Drosophila melanogaster: one gene and its partners. The protein of the gene in region 4 purifies or fractionates together with the protein of the main gene of each other region. This does not show direct contact. Each region holds a gene or a part of one and is shown on either strand. Other genes may lie near its edges.

Region 1 (8,969 bases), on a different chromosome or scaffold from region 4:
CTCCTGTCTGGCGTGAACTTCAATGCCGTGCGCTCTGACAACGTGTCGTGCTGCTCCGTAACGCTGATCTCTACCTTGGAGTGCACCAATCTCCGACTGAGATGCTCCGACGGGGCAATGGGCGACGGCAGCTCCAGCTCGTGCATTAGAAGTTTCCTCTTTCCCGAGCAAGTACCATTATCGGGCGTGCCAGGCGGCAGTCCGCATAGGTTTCTAATGGGTGAAAGGCAGCCGAAGCTACTTTCCCCGGATGCGGAATCCGACAGTCTGCCAGCGAACATTGTTTGCTTGCCCTGCGGACTGGAGCCCACCATGGACCTCGATGGCTCTGCCGTGTCCTGTTCGCCCAAAACAATGACATTGTGCAGATCGAAGAGTTTCCGGCGCATGGAACTATTAAAGATGTCGGGACCACCACTTGACTTGCTCCTGCCAGACAAGCGGCCAGCCAAATGTGGCTGGAAGTACGGACGCAGGGCATCCTCTAGGGCTTTTGGCAATATCGGCGGCAAAGTAAGTTCCGTTTGCACCTCGCAATCCCGCATCCTTCGCGACTTATTCGATATGGGAGTGTTGTCCTCGCTGCAATTGAGTATTATGCGCTGTTTTCGCAATGGGCAATCCACCGGACTGGGCACAATGAGTGACTCCTTGAAAAAGGCACTGATGGCCAACTGGGCCTTGGATTCCTGCTCGGGATCGGGGGAATCGTGGAACTGGGTTTCATGGGGCTCCACGTCGGCGGGTTTTAGTTGGGAGACCTCGTCAATGTTCCACTCGAACTGGGTGGACGAGAGTTGGGGTGTCCGCGAGCGGAAAAGTGAGGGGCTGCCAGGAAAAGAGAGGGTCGCGTTAAGAGGATTTTTCGAGCAGACGAAAAACTCACCTGGCGATCAGTGGCAGGTGTAAACGATCGGCCATCGCTCCTTCGAAGGGATTCCGCACCTTGTGCAGCCTTTTCGGGGGCGGGGTGCACACATTTCCCGACATCTGGGGGCTGTATTTTCCATTTTCTTTGCCGCCATTCGTTGGCGTTGCCGACGCCGCCGACGAGTTGCTGCTGTTCGAGTGGCTGTTACGGCGCGCCCGGCACTTCAATCCGTTCACATTTGTAATGTATCGATTCTTGAGGGCTTGCGGCGTTCGCACCTCGTCGTTGTACATCTTTTTCAGTCACTAAGTCGCCTAATTTCGACTTAAAATAAAACAAGCGCGCCTGCTGCGACTCGCAGGCAGATGTCGGTATTTTCAAATGCAGCAGTGTTGTATAGCGATGCAGCGGAGTTATCGAATCGTTGGCAATTCGAAAAGCAGAATGCGAAAGTGAGGGATGTTCAAGGAAAAAAAGGTGCTAACGACTGATTTGTCACTTAATATTTATTTATTCGCATATCTAAAAGTGCCTGCAAATTATTTCGACTCCCGTCTAACTTTTAGTATTTTTATTTTGCGCGCCACCCGCTGCTTGCTGTCGATAACACATCAGCTGGGCGACTTTAACCGTTTTATAATAAAATGGGACCAGTCTAAAAATAAAGAATGGTTACTGGTATACAAAATTGTATCCCATTATAAACTTGAGGAATAAGTAGCTCGTAATTATCCGAATATGGATGCATTTCAATATTTGGGCTGCTAGAACCTTTTATTGTTCCTATAACCCGAATAGAGATTCCATTTCAATATAACTTTATCTTGAATGGTTTAGTTTACTTTCTATTTAAACTAATATTCCGTTTTAAATGTTTCAATACTCTTATATTAGAAAAATACCAATGCCAACATCTGAGTACGATTTCGCAACTGGTCACACTGACAGCTGTCTTCTACCAACACATATGCGCGCGTGTGTATGTGTTTGCGTGCAGTGCGAAATAGAAACAAGAAAAGCAAGCGAAAAATCACAGAAATTCACAAAAAAAAAGCCCAACTACTTCCAAAATTGGGCCGCCCGGCGAAGAACCGCAAAAGTGGCCAAAATTCGGCGAAAACAGCGCAAGTGTGACAAAGCATTCGTGCCGCTGCAGTCGTCGGCGAAACGGGCGAAAACAAAAGAGAATAGTGTTGATAGTAATACGAGCGTATTTAGCAGTAGCAGCAGCAGCAGCAGTGGCCGAAGCTTCGGCAGGGGAACGGAACGGTGGGCGGTGGGTGCAGAAGCGGGCCGGGGAACGGCCGAGAACGAAACACTAGCAGTAGCAGCAGCAGCAGCGACAACAACAAATGCCGGTCGCTTTATCACCGCCGATCTAATCAAAACAGTTAACAGCGACAAGCAGCGAGACAGAGTAGCAAAGGGCCACAGGGACGCGAAAAACCCCCTAGATGCCACCAAACATTTGCGCCTATCGGACTGCTTGCGTACCGTGCAAAAACTTGCTATTGAACTTGAGAGCGCCGACGCCGGCAGCGACGCCAGCGCCCAAGCCAACGCTAGCGCCGACGCCAGCAGCGCCGTCATGTCCGAGACGGGTTGTCGGCACTATCAAAGCTATGTGAAGGAGCACAGCTACGATACATTCCGGGTCATCGACGCCTACTTCGCTGCTTGCGTCAACAGAGATGCGCGCGAGCGAAAGGTGAGTTCAGTAGCGTGGAAGAGAGTGGGAGCTAGAATGAGTGCGCTACTGGCGTGGTGAGGTGAGAATGTGCGAGTGTGCGAAGGGGAGAACGCAATTACAATCAGAGGTGCGCCGTGAGTCACGTGAAAGGTCACTGACACCCCGGCTGTGGGATGACAGTGGCAGACAACGCACCGTTCTCACCACAAAGCAGTGCGGACTTTTTTGAATGGGTAAAGCATGCAACAGCTGTTTTAACAGCTGACAAATTGGCACTGTGAAAAATACTTTTGCATCGAAAAAGTTTTGTTTTCATTACGGTGAAATTACATATCAAGAAAAATATATTCAAAATATTTAATATTGTTACATGGCTTTTGTATTTTTAGCTTCATATTGATTATATATTATATTGCTTACGAGATTTAGAGTTTTCAAATTTTTGTTACACTTTTATGCATTTAGTATGGGACGTATTTTTTGTAAAGTTAATGGGATTAGAAAAAAAACGAATATAATTTTTTATCAGCTGCCATTTTAAAATCTACCTCCGCCAGGCTATTCACTGCAACTGCTTCGAGTGCGGCAGCTACGGCATCCAGTTGTACGCTTGCCTGCACTGCATCTACTTCGGATGTCGGGGGGCCCACATCACGAGTCACCTGCGATCCAAGAAGCACAATGTGGCCCTGGAGCTGTCCCACGGAACGCTCTACTGCTACGCCTGCAGAGATTTCATCTACGACGCGCGGAGTCGCGAGTATGCGCTGATCAACCGCAAGCTGGAGGCGAAGGATCTGCAGAAGAGCATCGGCTGGGTGCCGTGGGTTCCCACAACCAAGGAGACCAATCTGCTGCTGGCCAATGCGAGGCGTCGGCTGGTGAGGCCCAATCAAACGATCGGACTGAGGGGTCTGCTTAATCTGGGCGCCACTTGCTTCATGAACTGCATCGTCCAGGTGGGCAAATCCAATTAAACTGGCGAGTCTCCTCTCACTGACTTACTCCTGTCTCCTCTAGGCTCTGGTTCACACGCCCCTGCTCAGCGATTACTTTATGTCAGATCGTCACGACTGCGGCAGCAAGTCATCGCACAAATGTCTCGTTTGTGAAGTGTCACGTCTCTTCCAGGTGAGTTCAATATGCTGTGGTGTTTATGAGGAGTCTTTTCTATTCGATATGCTATCCCCCTTTGTAGGAGTTCTATTCCGGCTCCCGTTCGCCGCTGTCGCTGCACCGGCTACTGCATTTAATCTGGAACCATGCGAAGCACTTGGCCGGCTACGAGCAGCAGGATGCGCACGAGTTCTTCATCGCCACTCTGGACGTGCTGCATCGGCACTGCGTGAAGGCAAAGGCGGAGCACGAAAGCAAGAGCAACAGCTCTGGCTCGGGAAGTGGAACCAATTCCAGCAACTCGAGCAGCTCGCATTGCTACGGCCAGTGTAATTGCATCATTGACCAGATCTTCACGGGCATGCTGCAGAGCGATGTGGTGTGCCAGGCCTGCAACGGAGTGTCCACCACGTACGATCCGTTTTGGGACATTTCGCTGGACCTGGGCGAAACAACAACGCATGGTGGTGTTACTCCAAAAACGCTGATAGACTGCCTGGAGCGGTACACTCGGGCCGAGCATCTCGGATCGGCGGCCAAAATCAAGTGCTCTACCTGCAAATCCTACCAGGAGTCCACCAAACAGTTCAGCCTGCGCACTCTGCCCAGCGTGGTGTCGTTCCATTTGAAACGCTTCGAGCACTCAGCTCTGATCGATCGCAAGATCTCCTCGTTCATTCAATTCCCCGTGGAGTTCGACATGACGCCCTTTATGTCGGAGAAGAAGAACGCCTACGGCGACTTCCGGTTCTCTCTGTACGCCGTGGTCAATCATGTGGGCACCATCGACACCGGCCACTATACGGCGTATGTGCGGCACCAGAAGGACACGTGGGTCAAGTGCGATGATCATGTGATAACGATGGCATCGCTCAAGCAGGTGCTGGACAGCGAGGGGTAAGAATGACCAATATATTACAACTTTATCACCGCAAAAGCAGCATTCAATGTTAACTTACTTAAGTTGATTTCACGTCTTATCTTAAATTCATATACAACGTTATTTAGCTTTTTATTCGGATTATCAAATCATTATTAACTAACTACTTATTTTCACTTCTTTCAGTTATTTATTGTTCTACCATAAAAATGTGCTGGAATACGAGTAAGAAAATCCGCTGAGATCGATTAAAGCAGCGACTGCATCCCTCAAAAAACAAAAGCAGAAAACAGAAGTCAATGCATTACGAATTACGAATAAACACAAAATACAGACAAGGACGCGGCAGCGCTTACATATTAAGTAATATTAACACAAACACGAAAGCAATCCTACAATTTGAGGAGTGTTCATTTGATTCGATTGGGGTTATTCAAGCTCACAAACTCAAAACATTGGAACGAACAATGGAGAACAAAAAAAAAGGAAATTAATGAAAATGTAATCAATCTGAACACTCGATTTGTGGAGATACCCGTTTTGCTCTAAGTATTTCAAATCCATAATACTAAAAACAAAATCAAAAACAACAAGCAGATGACTTATACATTTATATTTAAAAATCAAACAAGGGATATTCTACAAACGCCGTATTACAAATGGAAAGCGAATTTTTATCATTTTTCTTGAAATGCCTTTTATTGAAAAAAAAAATGTTAAAAACTCATTTTCAGACACATCCGTTATAACTGAACCAAAATCCAAATCATGCTTATGAATGTCATGGATTTTTTTTATTTCGTCTTCATTTAAATAAGGAGAGCAATAATTGTAAATTTAAATACTTACATTTTTGGGGGCTTAGGAAACTGGGATTAAGATACATTGCAATTATTTAAAAAACAAAAAAAAATTACAACCGACGTCAACTTGGGCTCGTCCGGGAATTGAACCCGGGACCTCTCGCACCCGAAGCGAGAATCATACCTCTAGACCAACGAGCCTGCGGTACTGGGAGCGATCAGAATGACGCTTTTTAATGTGCGAGCCCTCTCACTCCATCGCTCTGCCTTGTGCTATGAGCAGGCTAAAAAGAGACAACTATAGTGTGCGCTTGGTTCGAACGCTTGCTTACTTATTCGATGCACAAACCACATTGAATGTTATCTGGGAATATAATATGCTATTTATGAGCATACATTTTTTAATTCCGTGTAATGAGAACCTACTCTTGTTGGATAAAATCCAATTGTCTAATTAAACTTTTCACAGTCACAGCTATACATAATTGTTCCTCAATTTTCGTGAGGAATTTTATTTATTTTAAGGTATAAAATCCTTTTTCTGAGACTACCATCTTCTGAGCTTGAATTATTATTAATTTATTAAAGGAAATGTATATTTTATCGGGTCAATTACCTTATCGATAAGATCGGGAGCTTTGCAATACTGTCGCAGTTGGAAAAAGTCTAGGTGTCGTCAGAACGCGGATTAAAATGTAGTTTCAAAAGTCGTACAATTATCCCAACTTCAAGTAAAATGGCTGCATATGCGAGCGCAAGAGGCAAAATTATTATCAACGCTGCCCAAAACATCCAGAACTAAGCAGCCAAAATGTTAAAACAAACGGTTAATATGCATGCTCATATGATTTTGCCGCAGATGAATTTTTTAATGTACGCTCGACAATGCGCTTTTCGCAACGCTCATGCAAATTACTTGTGAGTCTCCGGGATTTAAAAAAGAATCAATCCTAGACGAAAACTGTAATGTTACATAGTTTGTACGTAAGGAAATACATAAACATTATGGAAATGTGCCAATTTTTCAATTGTAATGAACCAAATTGCGTTTGTTTACTTTTTGTATTTCGATGGTATAGGTCAAGTTTCACAACAATGTATTTCGACTTAAGGCGCTTTTGGACTTAAATAATCATTGATAGCAAAACAAGAAAGAAATGAAAATATGTAGAAAATCCATACATCACCTATTCCTTAAGTACAGTGATAAAGCGTAGCACTGTAGCGAAATGATTTAAAAAAGACGAAAAAATAAATACATATACCGATACTTTGTTTTGATACTGCTCGCAATTCACAACACTGCCAAGCGGCGTTACCTCAAGTTGGCGTCGACAAACATTTAAAGTTTTGTTATCGGGAATATCAAGTTCACAAATATTTGTATATTCATTTGAGAATTTTTTGTGCGTGACGATATCCGTTTAAAAACAATGCCATTCGGTAACTATGAGCTTTATATAGCCACATCTGATCCACTAAAGCAGCGTGTATTTCAGCCAACGAGGGAAATGATCCAATAGCCGCTCGCCTCTCCAAATGCTATTGGAATCTTTCGTCTCCATTCTTGAAGGATGTCATTCCAAAAAAGCGTCCGTCCAAAGCATTCAATCGCAAGCCGCCGACCAAACTGGAATCCGAGGAGGAGGAGTACCACAAATTCGAGCGTGGTCTCCACATTTCTGACTTAGGCCCCAAGTTAAAGGAGACGGATGGACAGCCAAAGCTTAAGTTCGAGCTGGCAGACGACTACAAGAGCTCCAAACACTGCATCTGCATGCGCTCAAACACCGCATACGAGTGCGAACGATGCCATCAGTACTTCTATGGTCGCCTCGCCCAGATTTGTGATCTGCATCCAAATGTATGTGGTCCTCTTAAGGGACAACACCTAAGGATATCCCCTTTGAGGGATTTTATGTAATATGCCACCAAGATAGATATAGCTAGTAACACCAATTGGTGGTTGCCCCATAGGACCGAGTTATACAAAAGATTAGCGAAGGGAACTGTATTTAATAGTACATATTTATAATACGCGTATATATAGATATGCGCTGTTATTTCTTCGATCAGGCATCTCCCTACCCATATCAAATTCTTTATTGTATTGTAAAATCTTATCTTTTTTCTCTTCCTTGCTAGGAGTTTTTCCTTATGGACTTTCGCAATTGTCCATTCTGTAAGGCACCCATTGAGATGATTAAGAAGTCACCTATCAGCTGGGAGACAATACGTAAGATTGAAGAAGCCGAATTGCCCAGTGATGGGGATCTATGATTATGAGTTTGAGACTCAGCTGCATGTTACCTTAAATACATTGTTAAATGTAAAAACAAGTGTATATATATATTTAATATATACTTTTCGGACTTCGGTTAAAAGGGGCTGAGTTTGATTGTCCCTTGGCCCACATGTCAGTATTCATTTTGCAGCTCAACATTTATGTATGATGTGTTAGACAGGAACTGCGGCACGGACATGACCACGATAAACCCTTATAGCCCAGTCTGCAGATTGGCACTGCGGCAGTGACTCGACGCAAAGTGCATGGCATGGATATGCATGAGCTTACAGCTGTTTCCAAAATGGTAGTTGCTTAAAGTTTGCTTTTATAAAAAAAAACTCTTGAATTGGTGCAATATGCAAAAATCATATTTTAAATCCTGTTTACTTTTATGAAATGGATATTTAAATGGCTTATAAGTAAATCTTTTTAAAATATCAATTATTATTTGTATCGTAGAAAGGTCCCTATTTTACTTCCCAGTACTTCAGTTCGCAAGAATTTCCACGTACTAATGGGGTAACTAGACTGCGCTTCTCTCTCAACATGCTGATACATATCAGGTTAGTATATAATAATATGTGAACTTGCATTAAGATATCTGCCATCTTTGCAGTGCAGCGCGAAGTCTCAGCTTGGCACCATTGAAATCAGCGGACAAATTCATGTCACCAGATAACAATTCAATCACTTAAGAGTTCAGCACATTTTGAAATCGCTTTACAATGCCCCATGCCAAGTCTCCATGGGCACATTGTGGTGTCCTCCTTAGTTCTTCGTCCTGCGCTGCTCTGGCTAACTCCTGGTGGTCTGGTAAGTGGCGACGCTTTAGATTGCATTTGCCACGACTTATTTTCAGTTCTTTTCCTCCGTCGTTCTGGCTCCATGCACTGCAGTTTTCCCAACGACTTGGCAAGCCATTCTATGGATTCACTTGTTCTTGGACTTCCACTTGGGGGTTTTCTGCATCCGCATTCTGGTGCTTCTGGCCATGTTAAATCAGCTTGGCTGTGGATCGCAAGAAGCTCTGGCTTAGTCATTGCTGCTTTCGTCCTCGCTTCCTCAGCATTTTGAATGGCACAATGTTCGCAGTTGGTCGCTTTTCATGGGAAGTTTTAATGATATGGATAAGTAATCATTGTAAAGATTAAAGTTTTTATAATTTCCCGAGATGTTGGTCCGTTTATGCAATTCATTTAAAGTTTGCTTAAAGTGTAATTGAACTCATGTGATACGAAGGATGCATCTCTCTTTATATGATAGCTGTATTTGAATGATGTGAAGGATAAACGTCCTTGTCCTTTTTACGGACTGTGTCAACA
Region 2 (8,232 bases), on a different chromosome or scaffold from region 4:
GATGCGATTTCGTCACCAAACTAAGATGATGATAACGCTTCAGAATTCCATTTTGCCAAACGATCATAAAATACTAGCAATTCTACGTAAATTTGTCTTTCTGATTCTGAGTAATTAAAATTCATACACACGCGTGTGTGGGTTTTCCTCAATTTATGGTAAGCATTTTACATATTGCACATTTTCTTTTTTGACATTTTTTGCGTTCCGTTCGTTGCGGTAGAAGCAAAAGCATAAAACACACAAAAAAAAAAGCACGCAAAACGCAAAAGCAGACAACACCCAAAAAGCAGAGCGCAGAAAAAAGCAAAGCATATAAACCAAAACAAACGTACAAAACAAACTTGTTGTTACTGCAATTTCTCGGTTTAACTGCACTCGGCAAATTGCAAGAGAGAAACTAAAGACAGGCGAGCGAGAGAGAAAAAGCGGGAGCAGAAACACGAGTTAAATGCTTTTGCTCTTGCTCTTGCTGTTGCTCTTGCTTTTTGCTTTATTGGTAAATATTTTATAATCCAAGTTTAATTTATCCCTTGCATTGCCCCACCTCTAGCCCCTTCTTGATTTCCCGCTATTATTTACCATATATTTTTTTTAATGAGCGGCGGCAAAAAGCTTACGCCCACACCGGCTCCATAGCGTAGTAGTAGTAGTAGTTGTAGTTGTAGTAGTCATTGTAGTAGAAAATGCACACGTAGTTGCATGCGCAGTTGTAGTTGTAGCGTAAGACGTAGTAAAAATCAAGATGATTGACGTGACGTAAGCTTGCGAGGGTTGCTCAATGGATAACGATTTGCGCGCCAAAAAGAGAGAAAGAGAGCCAGACATTGAACTCGCCGGCACAAATAAAACAAGTAGGTAGGAGTACTATAAAAATATAGATATGAAAAACACGTATTCTAGCTGGACTTTTTTTTAATGTAGTTTCCCTCTTAAATTATTGAGAAGTACAATATTTTACTTTTTTTTCTGCATTATTAATGGCATAATAAATCTTTTTTTGATGGGCAAGATTTATTCTTGTTTCTAGTCACGGGCAAATATCCCGTATTTTCGGCGCATACACGAGTTGTTAGAGAAAATGCCGCCAAGGAGGTAGGAAAATTTTGGGGCTGTCTGCCACGTGGCCAGTGACCAGACATCCTTGAAATTCGCACAACAACAGCCCGGAAAGGAAAAGCCAAGTAAATTGGGGTGTTGGCCCAAAAGAGAGAAATTGTAGTACATATATATATGTAAATATATATATTATATATGTAGTATATATATATATATGGGTTCTTTTTATTCTGGGCGTAGTTCTGCGCAAGAACATCATCATCATCCCCCGGGTGATAAGTTTTTCGGAAGAGAGAGGATGACGCCATGGAGCAAATAAACACAATGAGCCATGAAAGCCACGCGCCGCGCCAACATTTTCCCCATTGTGGGTGGCAAGTGGGAAAAATCATAAAGGAAAGTCCAGAGCAAGAGCTCAGAGCATTGAGCATACAAGCACATCGCAGCGAAAAGCACAAAAATCAATGGGGGAAATGGAAAACCACCGCAGACAGACGCCGGCGTCGCGTGGGCGGGTTTTTTCTTCTCTTTTTTATTGTTTTTTTTTTTTTGTGCAACGTAACAAGTTTACTACGTTTGCTGTTGACGTAGGCGTTTTCCGCCAATCGATTTTCCGGTTGCCTATGGTATACAGCGTACTTGTGCGTTTGGGCGTTACTCTGCACCCACACGAAACGGAAGTGCGAACACTAGTTGAATGTGCAACACCCAAAGGATGGATGAATGTGCGGGCGGGCGGGGGGTCATGTGGCCGGTTGTAAACTAATCGGCCGCCCCACGACGTTGTAATTAGTATGCCACTTTTGGTAGGCGTTTTAGACTGACTCAGGCGTAAACTAAATTTTAATGCATCCCCAGGGATCTAACTAATCTCTACTGTTTTGCCATGCATCCAACGACCAGACCATTTTGTATTTCTTGTAAGACATTCGGACTTTAAGCTTCCAATATTGATGAAAATGGGGCATATGAAAAGTATATAAATTTGACTCACCGGAATCTGAGGGGGTCTCCAAATTGGGACCATCGTCCACCATATCGTTGCAGCGCGTGTAGCTGTGATCGGTGATGTGCATCATGTGCAGCATGCCGTTGCTGTTGTTCTTCAATTTGTTGTTTTTGTTGTTGCTGTTGTTGTTGTTGGTGGTGATGCTGGCATTGCTGCCGCTTTTGCTAGTGCGATGATGGCGCAGGTCAAAGTTGAGGGGTTCACCGTCATCGGAGTCACTATCAGAGCCGGTCGTCGGCGGAGAATCCACTGTGTTGCGTCCAGTGGCTATATCGATGGCCTGTTGTTGCTCGTCCAGTTGCTGTTGGTTCAACTGCTGTTGGCCACCCGTCGAATTGGAATGCTGGTTGAGCACATCGAGGACATCGTTGATCGGCGGGATGTAACGCACCGGCAACGGATCCTTGCCGGTATTCTGAAGCTCCCTGCTGATTTGCTTAATGTAGTTGACATCGCTATCATTGCCGGTCAGCGAGATATTATTGCTGCCCATCACGCAGGCACGCAAGTCGACGTTATGTCTAAACTCTGAGGCGGCCACCTCGTCGGTAAGACTGTGAGGTGTGTCTGGTCTCTGGTATTTTATGCTATCGCTGCCGCTCAATTCGCCCGATTTGCGGATAATGTCCTGGTTGTTCCGCTTGCGGAGCAAACTTCCGCCGGGCGGTATTAAATGGACCTCGTCCTGGATCTGTGACTTCTTGTCACCGCCGCTCAAACGGAGGCGCTTCTGACAGACCGTGTAGTCCAGATCTGCGAGCTCCTTCTTGATGATCACCGGCATGTTCTCGGCACTGTTGACGACATGCTGTTGATTTGACTGGGTGTTATCTGTCGTCTGCGATCGTTGATACGCGCTGTAGAGATTCGTAGAGCCGGAAACCATCGCCAGGGATACGGCACCGGTTTCGCTGTACGACGAGGCTGCACTGTTTCCGCTCTCTATTCCATTACCGTTACCGCTGGTCAAACAGCTGGACATCGCCGGCCACATGCAGTCGATGTTGCGGATCTCTGGCTTCATATCCTCCTCTAAGTCATAGTCTTGAAATACACTTTCCATGTCCTCGATCTTCTCGAGATCACTCTGAATGGTGGACGACGAAAGGAGTTTGTCCATATCGTACAGATCATTATCCATATCGAATATTGAAATATTTGAAAAAAGTTGGTCGTCCATTATGGAATACGGATCAGAGCGGTAAAGGGCCATTGCGATTATGTTGTCTGGGTTTTTTTTTCTTTCTATATATCTTAAGTTCCTGAGTTATATGCCTGTCTGAAAAATATAGATAAGGCGGAAATCGTTGTAGGTATGATTCTATATTTGAACTTAATTAAATAAATATGTCGGCAACACACTTTTTGAAAACTTCTTCAACATAAGGATTTTTGCAACATTTCAACTATAATGTAAGAGTAACTAAACTCCTAATATTATTATTGTATTAAGTCACGTTCTACTGTGCCAGATTTCACCTATAATGACGTCAGGCGATGTCGAGGGTTCAGCAAATGTTATCAAAAGCAAATTTAGCTTATAGCTTCATTTATACACTATTAACCATTTGAACCCGAAATCGTCAATCTTGGCGCTCTTGACAATAGCAAAAAAAAAAAAAAAATACATATACTAATGAAATAAACAAGGGCATAAAAGGAAAACCAAATATCAAATACCCAATTCCAGTTACTGAAAAATAAACGGTCCTTTTACCGATAAACGCAGACCTGCAAAGCTTACTGTGCTTTTCCCTTTTCGTAGAATCCGTTGCATTCCGGTAAACAAGTACGAGCAAAAACTAACAGTACATGTCTTTCGCAGAATCGAACGCAACCCGGTATATATTGAATTTCAGAATCATAGTAAAATTGGAATATCAACATTTATTAAATTATTATTTAAATCTTTTTAAATTTATTAAGCTAATTTATTTCTTTTTTAATTTATCAAGCTAATTTATTTCTTTTTTAATTTATCAAGCTAATTTATTTCTTTTTTTAATTAATTGATTTATTTCTCCTTTAAAAAGTTTAATACTTTCGTAAAAATTTTGGGACCATTTTATTTAATTACTTTGGAGCCCCAGAGTTCTGGAATTTTCGAACATTACCAACTCGTTTCAACGCCATCAAAGCGTTTTTAATACTTGCCAGCATTAAGAAGAATTTCACAAAACAATAAAGAACTTTGTAGAATTTTGTTTTGCAAAATTCGTCCACTTCCACTTTTCTATTGTCTCACTTTTTGTTCTTAATTTCTTGTAAGCACTTGATTCTTAACATTCCTTCTGAGTTCCTAGAATCCGTTATTTCGTATCGATTTGTGCGGCCATGATCACTGATTTGTCATTGTGTGTGAGAGCACCGTTAAAAGTTAAGCTATTTCACCTTTCCCAGAAATTCTATTTTGAATTCCCCGTAGTGGCGCGATTTTTGAAGTCGTTGCGTTCCGATAAATAATATATATTATATATATATATCTTTGCACTCACCTCGCTGAACATAGTTTCCGTATCCGTCTCTATTTAATTGATTGTAATCCAATTTAGTTAGCTTCCTTTGCTTTCCAGTCGCTTTCGGCTATATCTATTTCTATCCCGTTCCCGTGCCGCCAGCAAGTTGGGCACTTTTTTTTTTGCGTCAAAGAAGGGGAAAGACGGAGAAAAAACACCAAAAAAAGGGACACAAAAAAAAATTCTTCCCGTTTATTTTGCACTAGCTGATTTTTTTTAAAAAATCTTTTTTTAATTCTAGTTTTTCACAAGTTTTTGTTTCTGCTTTGGAGAAGATTTTTTTTTATGTATTTGCGCGGTTTTAAGTCGGCTCTTAGGTTATTTCTGGGATTTAGCACTTTTGTAACTTGGCTGTGACAGTTGTTAGTAGTAGTTGTATATTTTAAAACGTGTTGCTTCAGGTTTTACTACAGAACTATTTATATAGCGTTTGGTTTTTTTTTTTTGTATCGGGCGGAAAACAGGCAAAAATCCAATCCACAAAGCGATTCTCTGAATTACCCGCGGTGAACTGAACACGCGACGCCACAGAAATAGTGCCCGTTTCATGTTGTCTGTGGCTTAAATAAAATTTCTATCGTACCAGACTGCCGCGCTCTCTGCGCTCTCACTGCGCATGCTCACTGCTGCTCTCTTTGCTGGAATTCGCTTTAAGTGGTGAGAATAGGAGCTTCAACAAAAATCTTCTTTGACATTTGGATCACATTTAGATCACATTTGGATTCATCACGATTTGTTAATACTCGAAGGTTTTCAAATAGTACGCAATGCATTTAAAATGATCAATGTTTCTTTGCCTCTCCCGCACACTGGTTCACATAACAGCATCAGTTTGCCGGTATTTTTTTTTTGAGTGAAAGAGAGTGAGATTTTTGAGTGGTGTTTACAATAATTGAGCGCAAACAAAATTGAGACAAATCGCAAATTGCTCCGTAAATAAAAACATAAACAATTAACTTGAACTGGCTCAAAATGTTTTTGTGAAATAAATGCAATACGAAAATGTGTAGTTGACTGGAAATCAAAACAAAATTTTATTCATTTCCTTAATTTACTTACGGTATGTATATTAAAATATAGAAATTAAATTTATAAATATACGCATTTATTTATGTTAATGTTAATCGACATAAAACTACAGGTTTCAATTGCTTTTCTGTGGCATTATTTGGGATTCTTCATTGCCGCATAAATGTTTCCTATTTTTAAATCGATTTATTTTAAGCTCTATTCCTTTTTGCGTAGAAGTTGCGAGAAGTTGTTCATTCCCTCTTGCTTTGGCGCCTTACATTTCTTTCGTATTTCCTTCTTGCCCTTTCCTTTATCTATGCATGCATTTACCGTACTTTTTTTTATGTGCGTGTGTGCCTTTGTCACCTCTTTGTCTGCCACGCAACTTCATTTTCCGTTTTGTCAAGTTGATTGAACTTGTGAACTTTGTAAACAATGCAGAATTCATTTAACAATAATAGAAAAGTTAGGCCGCATGGTAGAAACAAAAGAAGAGCCAAACATTTTGTTAACGAATTAAACGATGCCAAGGAAATGTAAAAAGAAAGGGAAAAGAATAGAAACCAGCCAAAAATATTACAACTTTGGAAAGAAGAAGTTGTGGAAGAAGTAGAAAAGGGTAATAAGGTAAAGGCGGATAGGAAGCAAGGGGACCTTGAATGAAAAATAGAATATAACATGCACAAGCATACGTCTCTACATACATACATACATATGTATGTATGCACATTCCAACAAACTTCTTAATAACTGTTTGTAAAATACAATGTACATAGTATGTGTACTACATACAAATAATGATTTGTGCATGTGTACATATGTTTATCGCACAAATATGTACATATGTACACATATATCAACCTTTAAAAATCGACTTGAAAGGACCTGCATTTTGAATTTTGCCCCTTTTAGAGAGTATTAAATCATCAGGTGGTTCCGACGCAAAGTTCCTCCCGCTTTCTACACCCCGTCGATTTTGTTACGTTTCGCTTTGATTTTCATTTCCACAACTTTTAGTGCACAACATAGCGCTTTTGGCGCGTGCATCTGCCCTCTCTTTCACACGCTTTGTTTTGATTTCGCAACGAGGCGAACCAGCAAAAAAAAAATGCACGCTGCACACTCGCCCAACTACTCTGCAATTTGCACATTTAATTAATTGTTTGTACAAGCGACATATTAAAAAAAAAAAAAAATTGTTTAATTCTTCTGTCAATGGAAATCACAAACAGCCCAATAAAATTCACCTTCCAACATTCCGCTTTAGTATCCATAAGCATACAAACAGCCATTCGTTGGCAAAAAGCGATATGCTCCACTTTTACAGGGTACAACTGCGTCACAGACAAAAAGAAATGGTCCCGCAATTTGCGAGCTTTTGTCCGTCCAAGTTCTCGATTTCAATAAGTAATATTTCTTGTGTTTCGATGTTTGCGCAATTTATGTTTGCGTGTGCTGCTTGTTTTTGTAATAGTATTAAACTATTTTCTGCACTTTTTTTTTGTTTCGCGGGTAAATGGAAAGTGTGCATGGCGAGATAAAACAACTGCGTAAATAACGGCAGCAAGTGGCTGCCGAGTTTCCATATCTAGTTTGTCAAGAATTTGCAAGCTTTCAAAAAATTGGCCGTAAAAATGCAATGCATTGGCAGTAAATCGAATAAACCGGCAGTTATGGGAAACATCGAAAATATAGAAAGAATGGAGCAACTCAGGAAAGTGAAATGTAAGTACATAAATATACATATGTACATACATACATATTAGCATTAGCAGGTTACGTTGTATGCACAACCTTATTGAGTGTATTGATAGTACTAGTACTAGAATGAGGTTCATCCCATTCGCAGGCGCATTTGACTCGGCATTTAACGGTCTACACGTGCAGCAACAATGTAACTTTGACGCCAGCGTCGACAGGTGTACCCGGCGTAATTGTTTTGCGATAATGCCGGGGCCTTGCAGTTGCAGTTATGCTCACCGTAGGCCAGAAACGATCGCCTTCCATTGATAAGGCGAATAATCGTAAATTGCATTGCGCACTAGTCTTTCTTTTGCAACAATGTCGCTATCTTCGACTTCTTATTTTTTTTCACGTTACCCATGTATTGGTATTTTACTACAAAAACGTAAAAATACGTTCAAATCTAAGGCGACGAAAAATCACACCCTCTCTTTAAGTGTTATTTCGAATTGTAGGTACTTTTATTATAATACGCAATAAGGAAAGTTTTACAGGTATTTTGATTGTATGGATGGATTCATGTCATTACATAAATACTAAAAATATTCATTCAAATATTCATAGAAACTCAACGTTTGCAAGGTGTACCGTACATGCGTGTATATGTATATGTGTATATATGTACGTACAATTGTATGTTATTTGTCATTCCCTTTTTGGCGCCATCCATCTATTTAGACGCCAATCGTATTAGAAGATAACGCATAAGCAAACCTTCAATTATAATTTATTTGAGGAGGTCAAGAACTCGAGTATTTTAGCACAAATAGCTAGCACAGTCGAAGTATAGAATATGTATGTGTAAGTATTTATTCCATTTTTAAATGCTAATGTTAAATGTTAAATAAGTACATAGGTTCATAAAGTATGTATCATTTAGTTAATATGTGTCAG
Region 3 (6,517 bases), on a different chromosome or scaffold from region 4:
AAGATTATGCATGCTCGCTTCCTTGTCCTTTTCCTTGGAATACATTGACATGTCGGTGATGGATAGTATGTCAGTCAATGCATCCACCAGTAGCGGATATTTAAGCTTATCCGGTGTGCAGAGAATAAAGTTCCAAGCCAAACCATCCAGCTTAAATTCCTGAGCCCAGTAGGATATCTCGGGATCACCCATTACCAGAGAGTAAAAAGTTGGGCGAATTGCTAAAAAAAAAATCAAGATGGTTGAGTATCGCTGGAATTGGAGATTAAATTCTCCACTTACATGAGCCATATTCGCCGGCCGACTTGCGGAAATTCTCTTCAATATCATGGCGGCAATAGGAATTCAGTTTGGTTCGGCAGTTTAGCAGATCCGTGATCTTTTGGGTGTCCGGCATGCTGCTCACACTAAAAAGATTCCAGCGCACCTGGTCTAGCAATTCCGGAGGCGCATTGTACAAGTGCTTCATAAGATACTCCAAAAAGAGCAGCAAGCGAGACAGCAGCATAATTTGGCTGTTTTTTACGGGTCTATCCTCGCTGATTCCACGACAAACTTCTGCGCAACGGATAACACCGCCAGCCGTTAAAAGCAGAATGGATTTCTTTTGCATCAGATTGAGCGAATGAAATAGGAAAAGCAGCAGTTGGGCGTGCTCAATGTTAAGGTCTTCATAGTCAGAATCACTGGCGGTATTCGAAGAACAAACTCCTTCCACCAACGTGTTAATAAGGCGGTGCCACACGGACAGGCAGGCGGCTTCCTTCTCTTGTGTTGGCTTCAGCAAAAGAATTTGCACCAGTACAGACAGAGTACTCGGATAAACTTGTAAAGGCCAGGTGTTTGTATCAGTAGACCATGGCGATATAGACAAGTGCTGCAGCAGATTTGACTGCAATTGCTCGGACAGCAATGAAGTGGAAATCAAATTGTGAATATATCGGCCTGCAGCTCCCGAAAATCGAATCATCGACGTCTGCCACTTGGTAGAAGCTCCTGCAGAGGTTCCTGCTCCTGCACTGGCAGCTGGGGCATTTCCCGACCCCTGATCGCTCTCATTTCGCATCACGTCGCGGTCAAAATCTTTGATTATATTTGCCATTAACAGCATTTGCTGATCACTAACGCCTGCCTTTACATAGCGCTGCATGTAGGCATGTCGATTGGCCAAAAATTGATCCAGGAAACAGAATATGTCTGCGGCCAAGTCTAAATACTCATGTGGCTCATCTAGCTTGGGGACAAGGGCGCTCTTCTGTTCAGCACGCTCTTGTGTGGATGTGTTTGCATTATCATCATGGGTTTCTGGAGAAAGAGTTTCCTTAAACCAGTGGCCCAGGTAACTCTCACTATCGTCCTCCTCGGAGTTGTCCGAACAGGAGAGAGAATCGTTGAAATAAGTCGTAGAATCTGAGTAGCTTATGGGTTCGCATTCCGTACGATCCTTGGCGGAAGCGCGCTTTAAGGTGCATGCCTTGCGATAAGCCACAGTGGCTAGAAAAGTGAAAAGTTGATGCAGAGTGGCTGTATTCAGCACGCGGACAATCCGCTCCAGCGAACTGTAGTTCTGCAAAATATCGAACTGTGCAGGCTCCGGGAGCTCTGTGGATTCGAGACTCTGTCCGCATGCGGCTTCAACCTTTAGATCTTCTATTAGCTCTGAGAGCAATTTAATGCTGTGGTTAGCAATAGCTGCATTGAGTTCTCCAAATCCTTGCTGTACCTTGAAAAGGTTGACTCTGGCAATAGGTGTAGTAGGTGCGGTTCCAGCCTCACTACCAGACTTGGTCGCTTTTGACGCCGACTTCGATGCCGAATCCGAGCTAGATCCACCGCTTCCAGAGGCGCCCATTGCTCCTTGTATACCGCTAATTAGCAGCCAGCTGCCATAGCAGAGATGGTTCTGATATACATGAATCCTGGCCGAAGTTTTGAACATGTGACCAATATTGGAGTAGATCTCTAAAGCTTTGTTCACTATGCTACAGGCCTGATCCTCAAAGTCGTCATGGTCTTTGTTGGATTGCCCACCACTAGAACCTCCTACTCCGCTTCCTTGACTAGTGGATGCAGTCTGTTTCTGAGAGCTGCTGGCCTGGCTCATACCGAGAACACTGGTGGCTATTGAGGTCAACACAGCATTGTATAGCGCAGCAATACCACACATTGATAGTCGTTCAATTCTACTGGGAGTCAGTGGCTGCATCTCGATCAGGGCTTGGGCCTGACTCAAAATAGTCAGATCAGTAAGCATGTGATTCATGCTCGATTTCACTGCAGTGGCCTCCACTTGGGTCAGTGGCAAATAAAGCGATTTACCGCCGTTGATGGTCTCCATATATTTGGATCGGTATCGATTGAGTATGGGCAGGCTCACACACACATCCAGCAGGGTATCCACTCCGTTTTGCTCCTGGAAGTACTCCACATTGGCCGCCAGGATTTGTTCCTGAAAGAAGTAAGCTTTTAATATTGCGTATCTCGTTTTTAAGAAAATATAAATTTGCTCATAGCTAATAGTTATACACAACTTCTAAATTGATCGAGTAGGATAAATATTTTCATTAGATAGAATATTGCATTTTAGTTTAGTTGTGTAATATATCCGTACCTACTCAATTCAAGAGTAATTTATAATAATAACAGACAAATATGACCGATCTTAGGGAAGCTATTAAAACAGGAGTTTAAGTTATTTGCTCACAGTGCAGTCGGTGACCTCCTCGCTGAGTGGAACCCAAGTCATCTTGCCGGGCTCTAAAGGAGCAATCAGTTGCTGCAGAATAACCGAGGACAGGTCCGACCGGGATCGCTTAATCTCCGACTTGGGCGACTCCTTGTCGTTGCTGGCCCCACTTCCGGAGGAACTGCTGCTGGGCATAATGCTCTTGGTGGTCGACTCGGGATGTTTGCAGCTTTTAAGAACATTAGCCACCGCATTGTAGTCGAACATGGATGACGACGCTGATGCTGGGCACTCCCGGCCCTCGCAGAGCATCTTGAGGGCGCCCAGGAGCCACTTGGTCTCGTAGACGGACACCCTGGGCAGTCTATAGATAATAAACCGGATAAGCACGGCGGTGGCATCGTGCAACTGACAAATCTGCGTCTGGCAAACTGAAAAGCACCAAGATGATAAATGTAGCGAACGCGAATTGGCGCAAGTGAATCACTCGATTCTTGGCCAAACATTTCTTTGTTTTGTTTTCATTTGGCGAAAAATCATTAGGGTGCACTTACTTGTCTTGATTTGCATAAGTTTGTCCGCCGCCAGGGCCGCAAAGGCCGTGTAAAACTGCGTGAAATTGCTTTCCTCCTCGAAAAAGTCATGTTCGCTATGCAAATATCGGAATAGAGCGTTGTTAGTTCTCGATATTAAAGAATTTTCAAAGCTTTTTGCTATTTCGTCACCGGAGCGGCCATATTTAATTTTGCAAGTCACTTTTTGCACTAGCAGAAAATTTTTCACTACGCCATTCGGTAGGCGAAAAGTTCTAGATGATCGTTTGTACTTACCATCGCGTGATAGCTTTGAGCAAATTAACAACTTCGTTCTTGTTTAAGGCTCCTGTACGGTTAAGTATCAGGGCTTTAACAACGGAATTCCAATCCGTTCCGCCGCTGTGGGCCGACATTATTGTTTAAATAATCTCGTCAATTTGCCCGATAGTACTGAGTACTCGGCCTACTGTGTGGCCAGATTTCATTAACGGTAAAATGCCGTGCGAGCAGGGATACCACACAGCTTTAATCATTATTCCAATCAGCTGTTTTAAAAATACATAAAAAAGTAGTGAATAACCAATATATGAAAAAAACTGTACACTGCACAAAATATATATATATATATATATATAACTATAATATTTTAAACGTATTTGGACAAGCTAATAAATGTTTTGTTTATTCGTCTAAAATATGTAAAGCAAACTAGTGATGCTAGCTTTAAAATAATGATTATTTAATTATTAAATATTAGTGACATATGTATATTTTTTTTGTTTAAATTATCTTCTAAACATCTTAATCGGCTGCAGGCTCATCCGGTGGCTCCAGCTTGACGTCGGCGGATCAGGATCGATGTAGTCCCGCCACCGCCGGCGACATATGCACGTTCGGACCAACCTGTTGGCTACCCGGTCCACTGCCCATACCGCCCATAAGAGTCACATGCTTCCTATAGTTGGTGAACTGCTCCAGGTATTGTTTCACGGTGTCCATTGGCTCAAAGATGTCGTTGTGCTTGGCATGCAGCTGCTGTTGCCCCATTGCCGTCATTATTGTCTGTGGAGCGAAATAGGAGGGAAAGTCCTTATTCACAGCAATGCCGAGGAATCCCTGCAGCATTTCGCGTATCATTTCCCAGCAGTAGGCCAGAATCACGCATGACTTGTACTCGATTTCGATGAGGATGCCCTTGAAGTGCTCCATCATGGTGACGGAACCGAGTTTGATAACAAAGTCACCATACTCGAAACGAGCGCCACGGGACTCGATTTTGGTCTGCTTTTTGGAGGTGAAGGTGTTGGTCATCTTGAGCATGAGCAGATCGAAGATATTGTCGGCGACAATGGCCACTTGTTTGCCGGTGCCATTGTCGATGATCGAGAACGTGGAGGCGGGATACTCGGAGTTGTGCAGGACGTGGACTGCGCGTCCAGGTGCTCCATTGTGCGGCTGTGGCGTCGAGATGAACGTTTCGCAGTCCACCAGAAATTGACCGGCATGTGTGGCGCCCAGGGCGAGCAGACGCTTGCTCAGCTGATCGATTATGTGGGCACCCGATTTGCCTTCGGGTAAGGGATACGGTTGAAGGATAGTTACTCCCATAGTTTATGCAATAATGTCAGCTTTTTAGTTTTATTAATTTTGTTTACAAGTCTTGCAAGCTAAAAGCGTCCAGTGTGACCAGTGCTGACTTTTTAGTCATGAGAAAAGTTAGACAAATAAAAATACCAAACCGGCATACAATTTTCGTCAGCAATAAAATAGGACAACACTGGCCACGTCGCGTGCGGATTTGTTTATAATTTTCGGCAATGCAGTTTCACTTTAAAGTCGCGGACGCTGAAAGGGACAGGGATAATGTGGCTGCGACCAGCAATGCTGCCGCCAATCCGCACGCAGCCCTGCAGCCGCAACAGCCCGTTGCCCTGGTGGAGCCCAAGGATGCACAACATGAGATACGATTGCAGTTGGTTGACCACTTTTCAGAGGCACTTCATGAAATAAATAGAAACCCATTGATACATCCATAACTTGCAGGAATATCGTGGCCACCTTCTCGGTGAACTGTGAACTGGACCTCAAGGCAATCAACTCGCGTACGAGGAACTCGGAGTACTCGCCCAAGCGCTTTCGTGGCGTCATCATGCGAATGCACTCGCCCAGGTGCACAGCGCTAATCTTTCGAACGGGCAAGGTCATCTGCACGGGTGCACGAAACGAGATTGAGGCGGACATTGGATCGCGAAAGTTCGCACGCATCCTGCAGAAGCTGGGATTCCCCGTAAAGTTCATGGAATACAAGCTGCAGAATATTGTGGCCACCGTTGATCTGCGCTTCCCCATCCGCCTGGAGAACCTCAACCACGTGCACGGGCAGTTTAGTTCCTACGAACCGGAGATGTTTCCAGGCCTAATCTATCGCATGGTCAAGCCGCGCATCGTTCTCCTGATCTTCGTCAACGGAAAGGTTGTATTTACGGGCGCCAAGTCGCGCAAGGACATTATGGACTGCCTGGAGGCGATATCACCTATTTTACTAAGTTTTCGCAAGACGTAGTTGTTTCTACACATCCAAATGTTTTTGTTTAGCTTAGTTATATTCCATAACTACAATATTTTTAATATATTTACCTTAACTTTTTTAGTATAAAATGTGAAATGAAACAACTTAATTAATAATTTCCATGGGTAAATTCATAGAAATTGTAAGATTTTATTTTGGCCTTACTAAGCAAATTAATTTTTATTTAAAAAAAACTGTTGTTATTTTAAATAAATTTTTATATATTAATGTCTTGTAATCCATTTCATTCTATTCTTTGAATTAATAATAAATTTGTAAGTAATTTGAATTTTTATACATTTTTGTACCCATTCCTGGAATTTGGGAAAAATATTCAAATCCACAAATTCTGAAGTGTACCAACACATTCCATGAAAAGAAAACACATTTGGATAAACATTACTTTTATTTATTTTCAGGTTTCGTTTATTACAAAAGAAAACACAAGACACTTCATAGAGATTCGATTCGATTCTTATGGTACGGAAAGGAGCGACATTCTTAAGTTGTGTACAAAAATTTCCTTGTTTCTCGCTTAGTAGCTTCATGTACATGGCTATGTGAGATTTGTGTTGGGAATTTATAAACTAATTGTGGTTCATATGAAGGCGTATATACGTATAAAACTTACAAACTATGCAGATTCATTATTTGCATAAATTAATTGGACGGTTTCTTCAACGATTTTCACTTCATTTCGTTTAAAAATGTATTCAAGAGTTAGAT
Region 4 (8,061 bases):
CTGTGCCTACACAGCAAGGCCCCACTGTACCTGGGGTGCAATAATTGTGGAAAAAGGGGAGACCCTGGCATTTGTTATTTATGATGCACACGCAGCGGAAGTTGCACAAATGTGGCCACGCGTGCTGCTGATTCTGAGCGAACTGGGTGGGATCATTAGAACAGCGATACGTAACCCGTTTAGCCCAAATATTTAACCATTTTCCCAAAACTCATTTGCAGTGGAAACCCTGAACAATGGCAACGGGCTGCTCCACTCGCCGCCCCACAATCACCAGCAGCAGCAGCAGCAACAACAGCGAGGCGGAGGAGGAGCATCGCCAGCTGGAGGCGGAGGAGGTCCCTCTGCCGCAGCGGATCACAATATCCAGATAACGCAGCCTATCAGTGCTCCATCCTCGCCGTTGGCTTCACCGGGCGCCCTCAACAGCAGTGGCAGCAGCAGTGGTGGTGGTGCAGGAAGTGCCGGAGGAATCTCCGGCAGTCCCACCGCCTTTTGTCTGCCCTCCAGTTCCGCAGCGGCAGCGGTGGCTGCCATTTCCGCTACGCCCACCAGTGGGAGTGGATCGTATGTGTGCTCTGCCGGAACCAATTGGCATTTCGCAGCTGTGGCAGCATCCAACGCCATCGATACGGCTGATCCCAACTGGCAGGCCAGCAAGGCGACGGTCCTCGAGAGGAATGCAGCCATGTTCAACAACGAACTCATGTCCGATGTCAAGTTCATTGTGGGCGGAGAGTTCGGTAAGCGTTCTTTTACTTTCTTTAACCAATCAAACAGCATTGCTCATGACCTGCATTTTTCACAGACATCGATCCCATTCAGACCATTCCCGCCCACAAATATATTCTCGCCACGGGCAGTTCCGTATTCTATGCTATGTTCTATGGAGGACTGGCGGAGAACAAGCAGGAAATCAAAGTGCCTGACGTGGAACCCACTGCCTTCCTAACGTTGCTAAGGTAAGATATCCACATCCCAACCAACCAATCGGAATTGTATATATTTACTCTCTATGATTCCGCTTAGGTACCTTTATTGTGATGAAATCAAACTGGAACCTGAACACATTCTGGCCACGCTCTATGCAGCCAAGAAGTACATTGTCCCGCACTTAGCCAGAGCATGCGTCAACTATCTGGAGGTGAAGTTGACGGCAAAAAACGCCTGCCTACTTCTCAGTCAATCGCGTCTGTTCGAGGAGCCCGAGCTGATGCAACGTTGCTGGGAAGTGATCGACGCCCAGGCCGAGATGGCGGTTAAGTCCGAGGACTTTGTGGATATTGATCTCAAGACCTTTGAGTCAATTCTTTCGCGAGAGACACTCAACTGCAAGGAGATACACTTGTTCGAGGCGGCCCTTAACTGGGCAATGAACGCCTGCGAGAAGATGAGCATCGATGACACGCCGCAGAACAAGCGCCGGCTGCTGGGACAAGCGCTGCACCTCATCCGCATTCCCACAATGTCGCTGGAGGAGTTCGCTAACGGCGTGGCCCAGACAGGCATTCTTTCGTCGCAGGAGACGATCGACATGTTCCTGCACTTCACTGCCAAGATGAAGCCCTCCCTGGGCTTTCCCACACGCTCCAGGGCGGGATTAAAGACCCAGGTCTGCCATCGCTTCCAGTCGTGCGCCTATCGCTCGAACCAGTGGCGCTACCGCGGGCGCTGTGATTCAATTCAGTTTTCTGTTGATCGAAGGTAAGTTCTATCTAACAAATGGTTATTGGATTAAGGTAATTAAAACTGAAAATTTCAGAATTTTCATTGTGGGTTTTGGACTGTACGGCTCGTCGACTGGTGCTGCCAACTACAACGTAAAGATCGAACTTAAACGCCTGGGCCGCACGCTTGCAGAGAACGACACCAAGTTCTTCTCGGACGGATCAAGCAACACGTTCCACGTCTTCTTCGAGAATCCCATCCAGATCGAGCCCGAGTGTTATTATACCGCCTCCGTAATTCTCGATGGAAACGAGCTTAGCTTCTTTGGCCAGGAGGGCATGTCCGAGGTGCTAATGGGCAATGTGACATTCCAGTTCCAGTGCTCGTCGGAGAGCACCAACGGCACCGGAGTTCAGGGCGGCCAAATCCCAGAGTTAATCTTCTACGGACCCACCACAGTGACAGCAATGAGCTCGCCCACCAATTCACTGTGTCCCACGCCAATTGGTGGCAGTTCCTCCAATGCAGGAGCGACTTCAACCGCAGCAGCCGGAACAGCTGTTCCGAATAGCAGCAATGGATCTGGCAATAACGCCAACAGTTCTGGGGAGGATGGCGACGGAAGCACCTGATGCGCACAGCTCTATTGCGCCGAGTGGCAGGGAGCCTGTTACTACCGCCAACAGCAGCAGCAACAGAGGAGACCAACACAACAATACAAAACACAGCAACCGCAAAAGATACAGATACAAAATCGAAACTCATGGGTTTTCAGTGCAGCACAAGAAAGTAAATTGGAGTTTTAGGCTCATATATATATATATATATATATATATATACCAAGATAGTAGAGTACTCTAGTTTTCATAATAGTCCTATATATAAACATATATATACACGTCAAAGCATAGACACATATATATACACCTCGGCAGTGCGTTTTAAAACTCCAAGACGATTGTCAGTACGTGATCATCTCAAAAAAAAAAGTCAGCCGATGCAAGTCAATCGATATAGGAAATTTGCTATAATTGGAAAGTTTCCTTCGATATCCCAAGTATGTTAAGCAAGTGAAATCAATGGTTTTGCAGTTCTAAAACGCACTGCACATAGTCTGTTGGTAATGCATATAAAGATATTTTCAAAATCGAAAAAGTTGATCATATACACTCTTAACTTTATAGATAAAGATTAGTAGTTGACTCGAAAACTTAATACGTTCCACGACTTAAGAGGGCGGGATGGGGTCATATGGACGCTAATAGAGACGCATAGATACATGCAATAAGTGAAAATCGGGCAATCAGTCAAGCTAGCGTTAACCAATATTCTAAAGACAGTTAAAGGGAGAGTGGACAAAAGCTAATACGATATATACCAAACATATTTTTGCCAGCATATACCTAACATATACACACATCTGATCTGATAATGATAAACTATAGTCCTAAACACTTCGAGGGAGAATAGGCCATGTTAATAGTTGCATACGACGAATTTGAAACCCAAGTTAACCAGTTAACGAAATAGCAAACAAAAATGAAATCAAGGGATCTTGTACGAGATGCGCACAAAATCCCCCCTACATATATATTCAAATATTAATCTTGTAGTACGCATTATATCTATTTCGTAGTTGTTCCATTATATCTCTCATACATACACAATATGCCTTTCTACTGATACTAAGCCCCGTACTTCTCCTGTGCATTATTATAGCCTGCTGAGCGCAACAATCAGTTTTACGTTTGTATTTCGGATTTCTTTGGAAATTGTACTGATTTTTTGCTTTTGATAAGACAATTATGGTTTTTATATACATATATCTATATAAAATGTTATCCTGTATTGATTATGAATCTATTACCATTATGTACTTTAATCAAACAAAATACATTATTAGATTTTTGCGAATTTACTTTCTCAGAGTTGAAGATTTTGGATATTTTGACATCACGTAAGTAGTGCATAAAGAAAACAGGAACGAGTAGAGTATTGTTAAATACCTGATAAAAGGAAAGCAAGCAAATCTAACAAACCCAACAAAATATTTTTAAAAAAACAAAAATTAAGAGTGGAGCTATGGCTTGACTTGACTGTGGATTGGGATTTAGGTGTATAGTTTAGTATTCACAACGTTCACTCACCCAGAGAAGGTATGTTGATACAAAGGGCATGCGATAACTTTAAGTAGGTACGACCAAGCTCATAGGAACAGATTTGCTGTACGTCGCTGATGTCGATGAGGAGATCTGTGAAGATATGAGCAGTCAATAAGCTACTCTTTAGGCAAAATGAATGCACTACTCACGGGAGGTGCCCTCTGTCCTGCAGGTCATGTACACGCAAGCGGCGTAGATGTGGGTGCTCTTCCTACCGCGGGTCAGATGCCTACCCAATGCCATCTTGAAGAAATTCAGAGCAGTATCTGCATAGTGCTGGGATAGCTGCAGCTGCTGGCAGAGTAGTGTGATGTCCTTCTTGGCCTTTTTGATGGTCACCTCGCGGGATTCGGTGCCCGATCCCACCTGAAACTTGCCGTAGCCATAGTTGGTGGCACCGCCCGACGACTCGGCGGACACAAACTGGCCAATTGCGGCTGCTCCATGGCCAACTTCCTCGAACTGCACTTCGGAAACAATGAGGGAATCCTCCAATACCGAGCCGCAGTTCATGCAAACTACAGTGAATGGGTGAACGTCGTTAGTGTCATGGATATGGGTCCTTGGATGTCATTATACCTCGATCTCCGCGAGCATTGTCTTCCTCGATCTCGTTGGATCCGCAATTGCGACATTTTAGGCCCGTAGACATGATTGTTTGTTCTTTGCTTTAATAAACACTGCCACCTGCAACGCTTCGTTTTTATCCGTTGTTTTGACAGTTTAAACTACTTGTTTGCTGTCATTTGAAAGCCATTTTCGAGTCTTTTTTAAACAATTTGCAATTTGTTGCCAATTGAATCAACACGCTTGGAAAACATCTGATTGAACCCCGCCGGCGTTGCTTAACACTGATGATAGAAGAAGAAATGCTAGAGATGCGCATTTCTCAATCAAGAACGACATTGGCACAACTGCTTGAAAAACTTAAAAGAGATATTAAAATTGTAAAAATTACGTAAAGCTGGTTCCAAAAATTATGTTCTAGTTTATTTGGCAAATTATCAATCAATATTTGTTTTTCATTTACATTGGAATATATAATAATACAGGTTTAGCATCGTGTTCTTAGGTGCACATCTCTAGTAGAAATAGTGTTAAAGTGCCGGTAAGGTGACTAAGTATTTTGTTGACATATTGAACAAGTTGGACCAAAAGGAGTATACAGTCATCTTGGACTTAACTTATAAATATTAAGTAAATATTTTAATACATATTTATTTTAAATTTACATATTTATATTTACCGTGTGTTCTTGCTTTTGTAACAGTGTCAAGCTTTGACGTCATATTTAAAGAAAGTCACCCCACTTTGTTCCACCCTGAGCAGCGGAATAAACAACAAGTCAAGTCAGCGTTCAATTTTCGAAAGTCAACTTGAATTAAAAAAAAAGAAAAGCCGGTCAAAATATATCAGTCATGGGCGATGCTGATCGTGCGATGAACGAACCAGAAGCCGCGAAAACTGTGTCCGGAATCCAGGTGATTCCCGCCGAGGATGTGGCTTCCATTGAGGATATAATCACAATCGATCCGGACTGCTACGAGCTTGATCTGAATCATCGCCGGATCGAGAAGCTGGAGAACTTCGAGCCGCTGACTCGAATCGAGCGCCTGTTTCTGCGCTGGAATCTGATCAAGAAAATCGAGAACTTGTCCAGCCTGAAAACACTGATTGAGCTGGAGCTGTATGACAACCAGATCACCAAGATTGAGAATTTGGACGACTTGCCCCACCTGGAGGTGCTGGACATTAGCTTCAATCGTCTGACGAAGATAGAGAACCTTGACAAGCTGGTCAAGCTGGAGAAGGTCTACTTTGTGTCGAACCGGATAACCCAAATCGAGAACCTGGACATGCTCACCAATCTGACCATGCTAGAGCTGGGGGATAACAAACTGAAGAAGATCGAAAACATCGAAATGCTCGTGAATCTACGACAGCTCTTCCTGGGCAAAAATAAGATAGCAAAGATCGAGAACTTGGACACATTGGTCAATTTGGAGATACTCAGTCTACAGGCCAATCGCATTGTAAAAATCGAGAACCTTGAAAAGCTTGCCAACCTCCGCGAACTCTACGTTTCGGAAAACGGAGTGGAAACCATTGAAAACCTCTCGGAGAACACCAAATTGGAGACCCTCGACTTGGCCAAGAACCGGTTGAAGGGCATTGCCAATCTGGAAAAGCTGGAACTGCTCGAGGAGCTGTGGCTGAACCACAACGGAGTCGATGACTGGAAGGACATTGAGCTGTTGAAGGTGAACAAGGCGCTGCAGACCATCTACCTGGAGTACAATCCGCTGGCCAAGGATGTTCGCTACCGCTCCAAACTGCGCGACATACTGCCGCAGCTGCAGAAGATTGATGCCACCCTGTGCAAGGTGCCCGGTACCTAGATGGAACCACTGTAAACCCCTTGAAAGACTAATCCACGGCGTTGCGCCACTACATTTATATCGATTAACTTTGAAAAACTGCGTTTAAAATATACATACAAATTAACCACTAATGGTTCTATCTACGAATTGGTGGGTGCAGTGATTTAGTTTGCTTTCAGAAGAAGGTATATTTGGATAAGTTACTCAAAGCGTGAAGTTTACCTAATGAGTCAGATAAATTATCCATCTAGGCTACCGCCTAACATATAAAACTAAAAAGTATTTTATATATACACATAAATAATGTAAATTGAATCTAAAAAGATGAAAACATTTTAGTTAAACAATTCTGGTTTCTCTTAAACCAAAACAATACATTTCAGTATGTCAGAGTACATTCAACGGAATGTATTTTTATTTATATCAAAGTTATTGTTCTATCGATTGAAATCACAGAGCTCAACTGATAAGTGGCTTTCATAAAGGCCTTTGTCTTCATTCTTTCCCTTTGTGGCAGACATGTTGTGCAAATATGCTTATCATTTCATTTTTTGACAAAGTATATGAGGCGTCAGTTGGATTGCTTTTGGAGGAGTTCATCAATTCGAAACAGCGTAATAGTCAGAGGCGCTCACTTTATGAGGACCTCCATAGAAGTCCAGAACAAAGATATTGCTAATTTCCAGTTCGCAAAGGTAGAAATTGTGAGCTGTAAAAGAAACAACGTATTTATTATTAGTACATACATATCGAGCTCTTAATGAGGTTCGCTTTCACCAACCTTTTACCCAATTGATGGCAGCTGGATGACGCCTCACATAGGCATCCAGCGATGGCTGATAGCTTTTGTCGCTAGGATCCATCTTCAAATGAGCCAAAACATTCTTAATCCATTTTAAATAGGATTTAATTCATTTTTCATACCTTCTTCACCTGTCCACTGATCATGGAACGGGCACATGTAGGCTCCATGGGATCCTTTCCGCCCTCCTTGCATCTTAGGGTCTGCTCGTCACTGAACAGGAGTGTGACCTTGTTGTCCTTCTGCCAGTCGGGACCAGTGAAGTCCAAATCGGTTAGCAGGAATCGAATACGTCCAGTGGACCTGTTATTAGCATCGCTGTCGTCGATGGAGATAATGTTGACCATGGGATACCCCTTCACCCGTTCGTTGGTGGAGAGACTTCCCACAGCCGCCCAATTGGCGCGATGGACCAAATCTCTGGCGATCTTGGCGTGATTTAACTCTTGCTCTCGCTTATATTCTCTAATTATACGCTCATCTTTCCGGCGGGAGTAACCGGAAGAGGGGTCCAGGCTCACGAGGGCCAAAATCAGGGCGAATAGTAGGGAGTGAAAGGTTTTCATGGCTAGACTGCAAGTATAACGATGCGGTTCTGAAAGATCACTGAACACTGGACAGCTGACGGGTCAGCATTTATGGACAGGGAATTCGCAATGACTGGCTTATCTTCCGGTCATCGTAATCGCGTATAATCCGCACTTTTAGTACTCTCTCTGATTCACGATGTAGGCCGTAAACAAAGCGGACTACGGATAGCGTTGACCTTTTACGCCTCTTTCATTTTCTCTGTGCGCCGCATTCTGCCAGTAATGCCCATATATATATGTATTTATGCCTACCTGGAGGATCTGGACTAATGGCCCCTGTCGGTACTTCTGCTTTGCGATTTGTTTGTCAACTGACTGGGCTACTATTGCGCCTTTATTATCACCTGCTTCGAGTACAAAGAACCACAACCAGCTGTTTTCAGCAGGTACCTCGGATGCGGTGGGGTGTATGTGACGCATATGTTCGTGCATTTTTCTCAGTTCTTCTCAGTCTCTCA

Evidence for each region.
Region 1: the proteins of Brf (region 4) and not purify together in Drosophila melanogaster (affinity purification with western blotting; one study listed by BioGRID). This does not show direct contact.
Region 2: the proteins of Brf (region 4) and Myc purify together in Drosophila melanogaster (affinity purification with western blotting; one study listed by BioGRID). This does not show direct contact.
Region 3: the proteins of Brf (region 4) and Trf purify together in Drosophila melanogaster (affinity purification with mass spectrometry; 3 studies listed by BioGRID, with this or other methods). This does not show direct contact.

Annotation. Positions count from the first base shown.
Region 1 is NT_037436.4:18,614,982-18,623,950, reverse strand, and holds not (non-stop), read left to right. Parts: upstream 1-1,821; 5' UTR 1,822-1,838; coding exon 1,839-2,579; intron 2,580-3,118; coding exon 3,119-3,520; intron 3,521-3,581; coding exon 3,582-3,692; intron 3,693-3,759; coding exon 3,760-4,574; intron 4,575-4,743; coding exon 4,744-4,786; 3' UTR 4,787-5,145; downstream 5,146-8,969. Other genes in the region: bora (aurora borealis), read right to left, coding at 1-828, 887-1,164; CG13380 (uncharacterized protein), read left to right, coding at 6,794-6,803, 6,860-7,224, 7,506-7,640. UniProt on the Drosophila melanogaster protein: Histone deubiquitinating component of the transcription regulatory histone acetylation (HAT) complex SAGA. Catalyzes the deubiquitination of histone H2B, thereby acting as a coactivator in a large subset of genes.
Region 2 is NC_004354.4:3,370,055-3,378,286, reverse strand, and holds the start of Myc (Myc), read right to left. Parts: upstream 5,129-8,232; 5' UTR 4,564-5,128; intron 3,348-4,563; exon of another isoform or gene 3,344-3,347; 5' UTR 3,282-3,343; coding exon 2,054-3,281; intron 1-2,053. UniProt on the Drosophila melanogaster protein: Participates in the regulation of gene transcription. Binds DNA in a non-specific manner, yet also specifically recognizes the core sequence CAC[GA]TG. Seems to activate the transcription of growth-related genes; required for cellular proliferation and growth.
Region 3 is NT_033779.5:8,067,932-8,074,448, forward strand, and holds Trf (TBP-related factor), read left to right. Parts: upstream 1-4,963; 5' UTR 4,964-5,039; coding exon 5,040-5,194; intron 5,195-5,265; coding exon 5,266-5,785; 3' UTR 5,786-6,017; downstream 6,018-6,517. Other genes in the region: poe (purity of essence), read right to left, coding at 1-221, 283-2,449, 2,705-3,117, 3,241-3,335, 3,517-3,635; MED20 (mediator complex subunit 20), read right to left, coding at 4,072-4,830. UniProt on the Drosophila melanogaster protein: Acts as a transcription factor. Binds to the TATA box promoter element which lies close to the position of transcription initiation. May be essential for embryonic development.
Region 4 is NT_033777.3:17,386,681-17,394,741, forward strand, and holds the start of Brf (Brf RNA polymerase III subunit), read right to left. Parts: upstream 4,658-8,061; 5' UTR 4,483-4,657; coding exon 4,410-4,482; intron 4,349-4,409; coding exon 3,980-4,348; intron 3,921-3,979; coding exon 3,816-3,920; intron 3,586-3,815; exon of another isoform or gene 2,475-3,585; coding exon of another isoform or gene 1,763-2,474; intron 1,705-1,762; coding exon of another isoform or gene 1,030-1,704; intron 963-1,029; coding exon of another isoform or gene 809-962; intron 744-808; coding exon of another isoform or gene 222-743; intron 1-221. Other genes in the region: lute, read left to right, coding at 222-743, 809-962, 1,030-1,704, 1,763-2,300; sds22, read left to right, coding at 5,249-6,229; CREG (cellular repressor of E1A-stimulated genes), read right to left, coding at 6,811-6,920, 6,993-7,074, 7,136-7,579.